Linked DNA regions of Caenorhabditis elegans. The protein of the gene in region 1 purifies or fractionates together with the protein of each later gene. This does not show direct contact. Each region holds a gene or a part of one and is shown on either strand. Other genes may lie near its edges.

Evidence for each region. The genes of interacting proteins can lie anywhere in the genome.
Region 2: the proteins of dcs-1 (region 1) and xrn-1 purify together in Caenorhabditis elegans (affinity purification with western blotting, with the first as the bait; one study listed by BioGRID). This does not show direct contact.

The regions. Positions count from the first base shown.
Region 1 is NC_003283.11:20,086,272-20,093,857, forward strand, and holds dcs-1 (m7GpppX diphosphatase), read right to left. Parts: upstream 4,473-7,586; 5' UTR 4,472-4,472; coding exon 4,355-4,471; intron 4,268-4,354; coding exon 4,087-4,267; intron 4,040-4,086; coding exon 3,894-4,039; intron 3,236-3,893; coding exon 3,041-3,235; intron 1,982-3,040; coding exon 1,854-1,981; intron 1,801-1,853; coding exon 1,632-1,800; 3' UTR 1,577-1,631; downstream 1-1,576. Other genes in the region: fre-1 (NADPH-dependent diflavin oxidoreductase 1), read right to left, coding at 1,324-1,452; sec-23 (Protein transport protein SEC23), read left to right, coding at 4,997-5,134, 5,887-5,981, 6,037-6,181, 6,231-6,320, 6,595-6,708. UniProt on the Caenorhabditis elegans protein: Decapping scavenger enzyme that catalyzes the cleavage of a residual cap structure following the degradation of mRNAs of the 3'->5' exosome-mediated mRNA decay pathway.
Region 2 is NC_003280.10:14,066,152-14,073,155, forward strand, and holds the start of xrn-1 (5'-3' exoribonuclease 1), read left to right. Parts: upstream 1-2,755; 5' UTR 2,756-2,845; coding exon 2,846-3,052; intron 3,053-3,985; coding exon 3,986-4,086; intron 4,087-4,503; coding exon 4,504-4,711; intron 4,712-6,747; coding exon 6,748-7,004.

The sequences.
Region 1 (7,586 bases):
GGCGCTGCTAACACTACAAACTACAAGTTTTGAGCGCTGCTAAGACTACAAACTACAAGATTTTGGGCGCTGCTAACACTACAAACTACAAGATTTTGGGCGCTGCTAAACTACAAACTACAAGTTTTGGGCGCTGCTAAGACTACAAACTACAAGATTTTGGGCGCTGCTAACACTACAAACTACAAGATTTTGGGCGCTGCTAATTCAATTTTGAGCGCTGCTAAGACTACAAACTACAAGATTTTGGGCGCTGCTAAGACTACAAACTACAAGATTTTGGGCGCTGCTAACACTACAAACTACAAGATTTTGGGCGCTGCTAATTCAATTTTGAGCGCTGCTAAGACTACAAACTACAAGATTTTGGGCGCTGCTAAGACTACAAACTACAAGTTTTGAGCGCTGCTAAGACTACAAACTACAAGATTTTGGGCTGCTAACACTACAAACTACAAGATTTTGGGCGCTGCTAAACTACAAACTACAAGATTTTGGGCGCTGCTAAGACTACAAACTACAAGTTTTGGGCGCTGCTAAGACTACAAACTACAAGATTTTGGGCGCTGCTAAGACTACAAACTACAAGTTTTGGGCGCTGCCAAACTACAAACTACAAGTTTTGGGCGCTGCTAATTCAATTTTGGGCGCTGCTAATTCAATTTTGAGCGCTGCTAAGACTACAAACTACAAGATTTTGGGCGCTGCTAAGACTACAAACTACAAGTTTTTGGGCGCTGCTAATTCAGTTTTGGGCGCTGCTAACACTACAAACTACAAGTTTTGAGCGCTGCTAAGACTACAAACTACAAGATTTTGGGCGCTGCTAAGACTACAAACTACAAGTTTTGGGCGCTGCTAAGACTACAAACTACAAGATTTTGGGCGCTGCTAACACTACAAACTACAAGATTTTGGGCGCTGCTAATTCAATTTTGGGCGCTGCTAAGACTACAAACTACAAGTTTTGAGCGCTGCTAAGACTACAAACTACAAGTTTTGAGCGCTGCTTAGACTACAAACTACAATTTTTGGGCGCTGCTAAACCAATTTTCATGTTTTCCACGCGGATTTTCCCGAAATTTTTCATTTTTCCAGTCAGGATTTTGAATAAATTGGATTTTCCACGCAGATTTTTCGGAATTTTTCGAAGTTTTCAGCAATTTTTTTGCTAAATTTAGCTAAACTTTAATTTTTCCACGTTTTCCATGGTTTTTATGTGAATTTTTCGGCAAAATTGGAATTTTTGAAGTTTTTTTTTCACATTTTTCATGTAAATAACCGAATTTCCATGGATTTCTTCAGCCTCCAATTCCTCCTCACCGAAACATCATATTCGTCCAACTCGTGAACTCTCGCCTGTAAATGTCGCTGTTGAGCTTCCCGTCGCAGAGATTCGGCGATATCCTGTGCGGTGCCCGTCTCACTGCCATATAGAATGGCGATAGACATCTAAAATTGGCTGAAAAATGGTGAAAAACGGGGATTTTGAGGGGGGAGGGGGGGGTGAAAAATAGAGAAAATCACTGAAAATTACAGAATTTTCGGCGGGGGGAAAATCTGTGAGTGAAAAATCCAGAAAAAAAAACAATTTATAAATTAAAAAATCAACGCAAAAAATTATTAATTTGTCAATTTTTCAAAGCTTCCCGGAACATTTCCATCAGTTTATCGCCATTTTTTCGGGTAAATGTCAACGTGGATTTCTTATAATGCTCCGGGTTAAGCTCTAAATTGTTGATGACGTCATCGAGCAGGATAGCCGACATTGTAGTGCTCGCCGGGGCATCGTATTTTAGGCTGAAAATTCGAGAAAATTTTAGTTTTTTCCCAGGTTTTCAGAGAGAGATTACTTGATAAAATGAACGTGAAGATGATAAAAAGACGGTTGATAATGGAAATAGCACTTGATTTGATCGGTTTTTAGGCCATATTTCTGATTTATTGCCTCGAGGGACTTGTCACGCATGTTGTACAGCATCTGGAATTGAAATTTTTTGAATTTTTAAGGGAATTTGGCTTTTTTCACTCAAAAATCGATATTTTACGGTGAAAATTGGCATTTTTTGACTCGAAAACTTGAAATTTCAGTGAAAATTGCAAGAAAAACTAGCATTTTACCGGAAATTTCACAAACTACACAATTTTTGGGCGCTGCTTAGCCTACAAACTACAAGTTTTGGACGCTGCTAATTTAATTTTGGGCGCTGCTTACACTCAAAATAAGAAAACTGCGTGGCGTGTACTGCAGAAAACCTCAAATTTAGGCCCCGCCTTTTTCTCGTCTACTCACGGAGAAAAAGCAAAAATTCTGGGACCAACCAATATCAGGCCGCGGACATCCTACGGGTTCCGCGCGCCGCTGCGTTTAACTCGATGTGGGCGTGGCGAGCTGTCTCCGCCCGAGATTTACAAGATTTAGGCGCTGTTAATTCAATTTTGGGCGCTGCTAAACTACAAACTACAAGTTTTGGGCGCTGCTAATTCAATTTTGGGCGCTGCTTAGACTACAAACTACAATATTTAGGTGCTGCTAATTCAATTTTGGGCGCTGCTTAGACTACAAACTACAATATTTAGGTGCTGCTAATTCAATTTTGAACGCTGCTAAAACTACAAACTACAAGATTTAGGCGCTGTTAATTCAATTTTGGGCGCTGCTAAACTACAAACTACAAGTTTTGGGCGCTGCTAATTCAATTTTGGGCGCTGCTAAGACTACAAACTACAAGTTGTCGATTTTTGAGTGGAAAAATGTAATTTTCAGATAAATATCGGTACTATTGTGCGAAACTTGACATTTTTCTTTGCTTTTGTGCCTAAAATTGCAGATTTTCAGAGATATTTTGCATTTTTGGTGATTTTTGACGGAAATTTCGGTAAAATCTTGATTTTGCCATTTCCGGACAATTTTAGAGAGATTTCACGTTTTTTAACTACAATTTGCGATTTATTGGGCGAAAAATCGTCATTTTAGAGTGATTTTGCTTTTTTTTTCAGCGAAAATTGCAATTTTCCGGTAGAAAATCCGATTTTCTACCTCCAAATCATCTCCAGTCAAATCCCGGACAGATTTCAGGCCGTGGCGGTGACAAATAGCGAGAACATAGAGATTTTCCAAGGTTTTTCCGTCCCATTTGATATCCTGAAGAAGTACGAAGCCATTTTCATTGTCGGGGTCTTCGAACACGATTTTATCGACTTCCGAGCGCTTTTCCAGGCAATTGTACACCCACTGAAACGAAAAATTGATTTTTGAAAAAGAAATTTCGAGCGGAAAATCGCATTTTCTCATTTAAAATTGTGCGATTTTCAGTATTTCTACTAATTTCCGAATTTTTATTCACTTTGAACGCTAAAAACTCTGAAAAACAGAGAAAATCTACGAATTTTTAATGGTTTTTGTCAATTTTTTGCAGAATATTCTCATTTTCTGTCTTGTTTTTCACTTAAAACCAAAAGAAAAATCAAAAAATTCGAAAAAATCGAAGAAAAACGAGTGAAAATCGATAATCGTGATTTTGGGCGCTGCTTAGACTACAAACTACACGTTTTGGGCGCTGCTAATTCAATTTTGGGCGCTGCTTAGACTACAAACTACACGTTTTGGGCGCTGCTAACACTACAAACTACACGTTTTAGGCGCTGCTAATTCAATTTTGGGCGCTGCTAAGACTACAAACTACAAGATTTGGGCGCTGCTAATTCAATTTTGGGCGCTGCTAAGACTACAAACTACAAGATTTGGGCGCTGCTAATTCAATTTTGGGCGCTGCTAAGACTACAAACTACAAGTTTTGGGCGCTGCTAAACTACAAACTACACGTTTTGGGCGCTGCTAAACTCATTTTCTTGGTATTTTCTCCGATTTTCTTCATTTTTTCGCTGCTTACATTGAGATTCAGCTGATATTTCTCAATATACGGCCTTGTAACAGTCTCATAAAGCTCTGGAGTCTCTCGAATCACGAATTTCTCCTCCTGACGGTATTTTGCAATGAGACGATCGTTTATCGGGTAGATTAGTTGAGATTTTAGCACTGAAAATTGAATTAAAAATTAATTTAAGCAAGATTGTGTGGATTACAATTCAATTTGGGATCGATTTCTATATTATAGGACCCGAAAATGTCATTTCTGGAGATTTCTTGAAGCTGTGCAGTCGCCAGAAGCTTCTCGATATCGGATTTTTCTTCGGAAAACGGAGACTTGTTGGCAAGCAGAATGCCTTGAGATCCATCGGGATGGGAGAGCAAAACGAAGAGAGACTGGAAGAAAATATTGATTTTTATGATTTTTAGGTGAAATTTATTGTTTCTTAATGCAAAAAATTCACTTTTTATTGATTTTCTCACCTTATGCGACGAATCAGCGCCTAAAATCTCTTGAAACTTGGCATCCTGCAGCCATTTCTGTGTACTCTCCTCTGCACGCTCCTCTCGCACAAGTTCCTCGTCGGCGATCCGTTTCATACTGAAAAATCGAGATTTTCACTTATTATTCACCAAAAAGATACAGAAATTGCAACGAAAAACGGTAGAAATCGAGAAAACCAACTCAAAAAACATTTTCAAAAGTGTCACGCATCGTAAAACAACACACTGGCCGCGGCCTAGAAAACTCCAATTCTTTTCTCGGCCATCTTCCTCCACGTGTACATTTTCTGTTGGAATTTTGCAGATTTTCACTCGTTTTTCACCATTTTTTCTGATTTTTCTTGCTAAAATATTGAAAATAAGTCGATTTTTATTGATTTTAGTGTAAAAATCATAGTTTTCACCTTGCATATGTCGAAAAAATGACGAAAATTGATTGGGCAACCATAAAAACCCAAAAAACTCGATTTTTCGCTATTAAACGTGATTTTCAGTGTTTTATATTAATAAAATTAAAATTTAATGGTGAAAAACCAGAATTTCACACGTAATCCACGTATTCTCCTCGTTTTTCATCATTTTCCGCGATAAAAAGTTCATTACCAGTTTATTCCAGTAAAAATGGCCACTTGGGAAGAATATTTGGGTGCTCAACAGGCGAACGATGGCGTCCAATTCACGTGGAACATGTGGCCACACAGTCGAGTGGATTCTCAGAAGCTTGTCGTCCCGCTCACCTGCTTTTTCACGCCGCTGAAGGTAAAACTGAGGCGCGGAAACTGGATTTTCTTCGAATTTTTCGTGGAATTATTGAATTTTAAGCATTGAAAATTGGATTTTGTAGCTGCCGAGCAGCGCCAAAAGCTGAGGAAAAGCCTATTTTCAGCAATTTTTCTTCAAATCCATCGAAATTCCATCAATTTTCTCCGAATCTTTGCAAATTTTAGTGGATTGCTTCATTTTTTGCCAGAAATTCGTTATAATCTTCTAAAAATTCAAATTTGGTAGCTGCTCGAGCCGATCGGCAGCTTCGAAACACCGAAGGCATGAATTTCAGCAATTTTTCGATTAAAAACGCGATTTTTTTCTCAATTTCCATCGGAATTTCTGCATTTTTACCTTAAAAAGTCGGTAATCTCTGCAAAAATCGTAAAATTCCGCTGAGAAACGCAAAAAAAAAATTCAATTTTGGGCGCTGCTTAGACTACAAACTACAAGTTTTGGGCGCTGCTAATCCAATTTTGAACGCTGCTAAAACTACAAACTACAAGTTTTGGGCGCTGCTAATTCAATTTTGGGCGCTGCTAAACTACAAACTACACGTTTTGGGCGCTGCTAATCCAATTTTGGGCGCTGCTGAAACTACAAACTACAAGCTTTAGGCGCTGCTAAACTACAAACTACAAGCTTTAGGCGCTGCTAATCCAATTTTGCGGAGTTCAAGCCGATTTTAAGCTGAAATTTCACGATTTCTCATCAAATTTCTCTCAAAAACCAAATTTTTTTTCCAGGAGCGCCCATCAACAGAAGTCGCCCAACCACCACTGGAATATGATCCGGTTTTGTGCCAAAAAGCCAGCTGTAAAGCGATTTTAAACCCACTTTGGTGAGTTTCAGGCCTTTTTTTGCCCGATTTTCACCCCGAAAAATGATGCTTTCAGCGCCGTCGATTATCGCGCCAAAATCTGGATGTGCCCATTCTGCAACAATCGGAATCCGTTCCCGGCTCATTATGCGGCAATTGCCGAGGATAACCGCCCGCCGGAGCTCTATCCACAATTTACAACCATTGAGTACACGCTTCGAGTGAGAAAATGCTGAAAAATCCGAGTTTTAAGCCAAATCTTTATTCCAGAAAGCCACCACAATGCCGCCGATCTTCGTTTTCGTCGTCGACACGTGTATGACTGCAGAGGAGCTGAAATCGCTGAAAGAATGCCTTCAAGTACGGGACAAATTGCAGAAAATTGAGAAAAAAACGGCGGTTTTTTAAAATTTTCGCGGAAAATTGCTCGAAAATTCGTCGGTTTTCCAACTCAAAATTTGTGATTTTTTCACTCAAAAATGGGAATTTCTGCTGAAAAATGGGAATTTCTGCTCATTTTCGCTTGAAAATTCGACTTTTTTAAACATAATAGTGTTATTTTTCATGAAAATTGGCAATTTTTGCCGTAAAATTCAGATTTTTGGGCAAAATTTCCCAATTTTTCCAATTTCAGACTGCTCTCTCGCTGCTCCCAGCCGATGCTCTCGTCGGATTGATCACCTACGGTAGAATGGTCCAGCTGCATGAGCTCAACACTCAGGGAATCTCGAGAAGCTACGTTTTCAAGGTAATAAATTGCAGGGAAAATTGGATTTTTTGGGTTAGAAGCCTGAAAAATGCCGAAAAATGCCAAAAAAAAAACACTAAGTAAATGCAAAATGAATAGCGAAAAATTAGAGAATTATTGAAAATTCTCGGATTTCAGTGAACAATTCGAACAAAACAAGACTATACACTTTTTAATTCAATTTTCCATCCAAAATCTTATAATTCTATTCATTGGTTACTAGTATAGTAATTCAATTAAATAATGCGCTCAATATGCTCAATTGACCAGTTTTCTCGAAAAAGTAGGATTCTTCATTAAAAATAGATGTTAAATTAAATGTTATACTATATATATAGTTGTTCTGAAACGTTAAAGCTCTAAAATGCGGAATAGTTAAAGGTGGTGTCGTCGATTTTTTTCAAATTGCTTTATTTAGACTCAAAATTGTCTGAAAACACCGAATTTCATAATAAAACTTCTTGAAAACTTTTCAAAAAAAGGTTATGACGGCTCAAAAAATGGCCTAAAATTAGTTAAAATCGGAAATTTGACTAACTTATCAATGTCGCAGCGGCTGGAAATTTTTTTTTTTGAAATCATCGTTAAATTTTGAGTTTACAAGTTGATTATCTTGCGTTTTAAACTTGATTAAGCTATTTAAAAATCGATGGACGGCGAGTTTATCGATAAAAAAAATTAAAAATCTCGCCGTACATCGATTTTTAAATACCTTAATCAAGTTTAAAACGCAAGATAATCAACTTGTAAACTCAAAATTTGACGGTGATTTCAAAAAAAAAGTGTTTCCAGCCGCTTGACAAGTCGGTCAAATTTCAAATTTTAACTAATTTTAGGCCATTTTTTGAGCCGCCATAACTTTTTTTTGTCAAGTTTTC
Region 2 (7,004 bases), on another chromosome or scaffold:
TATTTTCCACCGATTTTTAATGTTTTCGATGGATTTTTGCTCGAGTTTTAGAGAAAAAGTCAAAATAAATGCAAACAGGCGTAAATCAGTTAAATTAATTAATTCAGGTTCGAAATCGTTTAAAAGCGTTACTTTTTCATTTTAACGCCTGTCATCAGCGTGCCTTTTAATCGAAAATTTGCATTTATTTTAACTTTTTTTTTTCTAAAATTCGAGCAAAAATACACCGAAAATAATAAAAATCGGTGAAAAATAACAAAATATGAAATAAATGAATTTAAAAACGTGCAACAATCGCGCTCCATCGAACAAATTCAATTGGCGGAAATTCAAATAGGAATTAGGCAAAAACTGAGATTTTTCCAATTTTCAAAAAAAATCATATAAAATTTAGAAAATTTTTTTGAATTTTTAAATCATGATATTCGGTCATTGTGGTACAATAGGCATGTTTTAAAGCAATTTCCCCACTAGCGCTACTCCACCTTTAATCCCCCCCCCCCCCCCCCCCAAAAAATTCGAATACTGATGAAATCTGTCCTATTTATTTATTTTATCTTTTATTTTTTTTTTTGTATTTTTCACCGCATTTCTTGCAAAGTTCACAACAATAAACTCATTCACCGAAGGCTCCCTGTAGGCAAAAAAGGGCCTTTAAAGGTAAAAACCGCCTTATATATCTCAAAAAAAAGACCTTCCGCCTAACCGTCTGCGCTCTCTCTCTTCCATGAGATATCTCTCGCGTCGTCTTCAATTTTTCCTCCGCGCGTATTTCCATTAGAAAACGCGATTTTTACAGTTTTTCGTTGAAAAAATGCAAAAAATTGATCGGATTTTCAAATTCACCCATGAAATTTGAATTTTCTAATTGAAAATGTTGAATTTTCACGACGATTTTCCAGCTAAAAATGCACATTTTTAACGTTTTTCTCAGCAAATTTTTAATTTTCCCAATTTTTATCGGCATTTCGCCATATTTCAACACAAAATTGCGCAATTTAATCACATTTTTAGGGCGGAATCAGCGATTTTTGTCTAATTGCAGAGTTTTTCGACTCAAAAAGCTAGTTTTTAATGTTTTTGGTTGAAAATTGGCATATTTTTTCTTGTGGTTTATAATTTGAAAATATCGCCAGAAAATCGACTTTTTGATGGAAATTGGTGAAAATTGCACTCAAAAAATGAAAATTCGTCGATTTTTGATTGATAAATCTAATTTTTATATTAATTTTTTCGATTTTAAAGTGACAATCACGTTTTTAAAGCAAAAAATTCGAGATTTCTGGCAAAAAAAAGGGTTTTTCATGCTAAAATCGACGTAAAAATCGTTTAAAAGCGCATTTTTCCTTGAAAGTACGAAAAAAATCGGTGTTTTTTTTTTTGGGATTTTCCATTAAAAATTGAGTTTTTCTTGATTTTGCCCGTCAATTTATCAATTTTCCGCCAAAAATCACCAGATATTCGACTAGAATACCTCTCGTCTCACAAAACACGAGTTTTTAGTGGAAAATTGAAAAATATCGCCAGAAAATCGACTTTTCGATAATTTTATAGACATTTTCATGAAAAAACACTAAAATCTCGTGTTTTGTGATACGAGAGGTTTTCTAGTCGAATATCTGGAAAAAATTGGGGATTTTTGGCGGAAAATTGATAAATTGACCGGTAAAATCAAGAAAAACTCAATTTTTAATGGGAAATCCCAAAAAAAACCGATTTTTTTCGTACTTTCGAGGAAAAATGCGCTTTTAAACGATTTTTACGTCGATTTTAGCGATTTTCTGTTAATTTTCGAAATATTTTTGCCGAAAGTCATGAAAAACCCTTTTTTTGCCAGAAATCTCGAATTTTTTGCTTTAAAAACGTGATTGCCACTTCAAAATCGAAAAAATTAAGATAAAAATTAGATTTATCAATCAAAAATCGACGAATTTTCATTTTTTGAGTGCAATTTTCACCAATTTCCATCAAAAAGTCGATTTTCTGGCGGTATTTTCAAATTAAACCACAAAAAAAAATATGCCAATTTTCAACCAAAAACACTAAAAACTAGCTTTTTGAGTCGAAAAACTCTGAAATTAGACAAAAAAAAGAATATCGCCAAAATCGACGTAAAGATCGTTTAAAATCTCATTTTTCCTTGAAAGTACGAAAAAAATCGGTTTTTTTTTGGGATTTTCCATAAAAAATTGAATTTTTCACGATTTCAACCGAGACAATTTATCAATTTTCAAAATCCCCAATTTTTTCCAGATATTCGACTAGAAAACCACCCTCGTATCACAAAACACGAGTTTTTAGTGGAAAATTGGAAAATATCGCCAGAAAATCGATTTTTCGATAATTTTATAGACATTTTCATGAAAAATCGACGTAAAAATCGTTTAAAATCTCATTTTTCGCTCGAAAGTTTGCAGAAAATGCGATTTTTTTTTTGAGATTTTCCATAAAAAATTGAATTTTTCACGATTTCAACCGAGGCAATTTATCGATTTTCCGCCAAAAACCCCCCATTTTTTCAGATATTCCGATTTTGAAGAAAAAAAACACGTTTTCAAAGCAAAATCATCGAGATTTCTGGCATAAAAATGGGATTTTCATGACTTTCCGCAAAAATCCAACTCGAAAATTAACAGAAAATCGTCGTTTAAAAGCGCTTTTTTTTTTTGGGATTTTCCACATAAAAAATTGTGTTTTTCTTGATTTTGCCCGTCAATTTATCGATTTTCCGCCTCAAAAATCCCCCATTTTTTTCAGATATTCGACTAGAAAACCCCCTTCCTCGTATCTAGAATATCGCTAGAATTAACGGATTGATCAAAAAATCGCCAAAAACCCGCCGAAAATGGGTGTCCCCAAGTTCTACCGATGGACATCGGAGCGATATCCGTGTCTGAGTGAAGTGATCAACGAATCGCAAATTCCGGAATTCGACAATTTGTATTTGGATATGAATGGAATTATTCATAATTGCTCGCATCCGAATGACGATGACGTCACGTTTCGAATTACGGAAGACGAGATTTTCGTGAATATTTTCGCGTATATTGAGGTAAAGAGCCGCCGAAAAAATTTGCCCAAAAACGGAGAAATTTGCAAAAAAACCGGCGAAAATTAGTTCAAAAACGGGGAATTTCACAAAAAAAGAGCGAAAATTAGGCTAAAAACGGCGAAAATTGCCAAAAAATGGAGGAATTTGCAAACAAAACGAGGAATTTCACAAAAAAAAAAGAGCGAAATTTGCAAAAAAAAACGGCGAAAATTAGTTCAAAAACGGGGAATTTCACAAAAAAGAGCGAAATTTGCAAAAAAAAAACCGGCGAAAATTAGGCTAAAAACGGCGAAAATTAGCCCAAAACCGGCGAAAATTAGCTCAAAAACAAGGAATTTCACAAAAAAACAGCGAAAATTAGTTCAAAAACAGGGAATTTCACAAAAAACGGAGAAAATTAACCCTAAAAACGGAACATTTTGAAAAAAAAACATCAAATTTCTGTCAAAAACCCGCCAAAAATTGGATTTTTTGAGCTTATTTACGTCTGAAAATGGAAGAATCGGCCTTCTGGATCTCGGCCACGGCCATGTGTCGATTTACACGGCTCGTGTACTCCCCGAGGACAAGATTTTACAGTTTTTTACTAAAATCCCTGATTTCGGGCAGTTTTTGCCTATTTTTTTTTTTTGGATTTTATATTAAAATTTGCCGCCGAAAATCGATAGTTTTACTGTTGAAAAAGTAGAAATTTGGCGGTTTTCAGATCGATTTTCACCGAAAAAAGGCGATTTTAATGTTGAAAACGATGAAAAAAAATGTCCAAAAACTGCAAAATCACCAAAAAATCGAATTTTGGCGGTTTTTCAGCAGAAAATTGTCTGAAAAATCACGATTTAGTGCGCATTTTTCCCGTTTAAATTGAATTTTTTTTTCAAAAAATTCAAATTTTGCTGTAAAAAATGACAAAATTTGATATTTTTCTCTTTTCAGAATCTCTACAATCTAATTCGCCCGCAAAAGGTGTTCTTCATGGCCGTCGACGGTGTGGCTCCGCGAGCAAAAATGAATCAGCAACGGGCGAGACGATTCATGTATGTGGAAGAGCTGCTTTTAGCAGGAAAAAAGGAAATTTGGTGAAAAATTGGCGATTTTTGACCAAAAAATTGTGCTTTTACATTGGAAAACTACTCATTTTTTTCGTATTTTTCCATTAAAAAAACCAATTTTTTGTATTTTTCACTTTGAAAATTCAATTTTTCGGCTCAAAAACTGCAAAAATGTCCAAAATTTGTGATTTTTCACCTAAAAAAAAAATCCAATTTTTGTTATTTTTCACTGCAAAAAATTCAATTTTTCGGCGCAAAAATGTCAGAAATAACCAAAAATTGTGCTTTTTCATTTGAAAAAAATCCAATTTTTGTTCTTTTTTACTCAAAAAATTCAATTTTTTTCGGCTCAAAAACGTCAGAAAAGCTCAAAAAATCTAGCAAAAATTGCAATTTTTCCAGGTCAGCCCGAACAGCCCATACTCAACTCGCAAAAGCGCTGGAAAATGGCGAAATTATGCCATCTGAAGCTCGATTCGACTCGAATTGTATCACCCCGGGCACATATTTCATGACACGGCTTCATCAGAAGCTTGACGATTGGATTAAAACGAAATCGGCGACCGATTCGCGTTGGCAAGGCCGAAAAATTATTCTCAGCGGTCACAATGTGAGGAAAATGATGGCTCTCTTCAGATTGAGCTCCAGATTTGCTCAAAAATCAATTTTCTTTAAATTTTTCAGGAAAAAATTGATGAAAATTCCAATTTCTGATGAAATTTCTAGGAAAATTTGGATTTTACAGCAAAAAAAAAGTGGTACTTTTTACAATTTTGCTGTGAAAATTGCGATAAAATCCAACAAAATGGCTGAAAAATTTTTTTTGACCAAAAAAATCGAATTTGGAGCTCAGATTTGCTCAAAAGTCAATTTTTTTTCATATTTTTTAGGAAAAAATCGATGAAAAATTGCAATTTTTCAGGAAATTTTGGATTTTAGACCCAAAAATGAAGTGTTTTTTCAACAAAAAAAACCCGATTTTTTTTTATGTTTTAGAGCTAAAAATCAGCATTTTAGTCCAATTTTTTTTATAAAAACGTTAAAATTTGTATATTTTTGCTTTAAAAATTGCGGTGTTTTGGGCCTTTAGGTGAAATTTTGCGAACTTTTTTAGAGAAAAAACTGAATTTTTGCTTTAAAGCGTTTATTTATTCGAATTTTCGAAAAAAAATTTCACAGATTTCAAGCCAATTTTGGCTTAAAATCAAGAAAAAATCACGTTTCTTCGTCTATTTTAATGCTAAAAACCGGGTTTTTGAGTAAAAAAGTGTTAAATTTCAAATTTTTATTATTTAAAAAAGATTCGGAAAGCGAAAAATTGCAATTTTTCTTGAAATTTTTTAGAAAATTCGGATTTTAGGGCGAAAAAAATAGAAATTTGTACGTTTTTGATGTAAAATAGCTGAAATTTGCTCAAAAATCAATTTTTCTCATTTTTTGAAGGAAAAATTAATTCGCTTTTCACTAAATCTGACAGGGAGCCGGAAAATTCGGAAAATTTGGCTCAGAAACTGATTTTTTTGCCGAAAAAACCGCGAAATAAGCGGCTAAAAACGAGAAAAAAAAATGCCAAAACACTCAAATTTTCATCTATTTTGATGAATTTTGTAGCAAATTTCATGGAAAATGATCTAGAAATTCGGCAGAAAAAATGCATTAAAATTTGCATTTAAAAAAAATTTGTGAAAAGTAATTCGCAATTTTTCGCTGTCAGATTTAGTGAAAAGCGAATTAATTTTTCCTTCAAAAAATGAGAAAAATTGATTTTTGAGCAAATCTGGGCTCCAAAAATGATAATTTTCAGCTATTTTTCATCATGAAAAACGTACAAATTTCTACTTTTTTCCTCATAAAAAACCGGATTTTTCCAGAAATTTATTTTTGGAAAACTCTAGGTGGTCCAAAAAAATTTTTTTCAGCCATTTTGTTGGATTTTATTGCAATTTTTACAGCAAAATTGTAAAAAGTACCACTTTTTTTGCTGTAAAATCCAAATTTTCTTAGAAATTTCATTAAAAATTGGAATTTTCATCAATTTTTTCCTGAAAAATTTAAAGAAAATTGATTTTTGAGCAAATCTGAGCTCCAAAAATGATAATTTTAAGCTATTTTTCATGAAAAACGTACAAATTTCTATACTTTTTGCGTCATAAAAAACCGGATTTTTCCAGAAATTTCGAGAAAAAATGCAATTTTTCATCGATTTTTTCCTAAAAAAATATGAAAAAAAATTGACTTTTGAGCAAATCTGGGCTCCAAATTAGATTTTTTTTTTTGGTCAAAAAAAATTATTTTCAGCCATTTTATTGGATTTTATTGCAATTTTCACAGCAAAAATACTCAAATTATTACTTTTTTTGCTGGAAAATCCAAATTTTCATAGAAATTTCATTAAAAATTGGAATTTTCATTAATTTTTTCCTAAAAATTATGAAAAAAATTGACTTTTGAGCAAATCTGAGCTCCAAATTCGATTTTTGTTTGGTCAAAAAAAAAATTTTCAGCCATTTTGTTGGATTTTATCGCAATTTTCACAGCAAAATTGTAAAAAGTACCACTTTTCCAAATTTTCAAAAGATCCAAAAATGAGCAAATCTGGGCTCGAAATTCTAAAAAATTGAAATTTAAAGCTTTTACTCGTTGCAGGTGCCCGGTGAAGGAGAGCACAAAATAATGGATTTTATCCGTACGGAACGGGCCGGCTCGAGCTACGATCCAAATACACGTCACTGTATGTACGGCCTGGACGCCGATCTGATAATGCTCGGAATAGTCTCCCATGAGCCACATTTCTCGTTGCTCCGAGAGGAAGTGACGTTTAATACGAGACCACGCAAGAATGATAATAAGGCGACGAAAAAGCCGAAGCGAACGGATTCCGACGTGAAGAAATTCCATTTGCT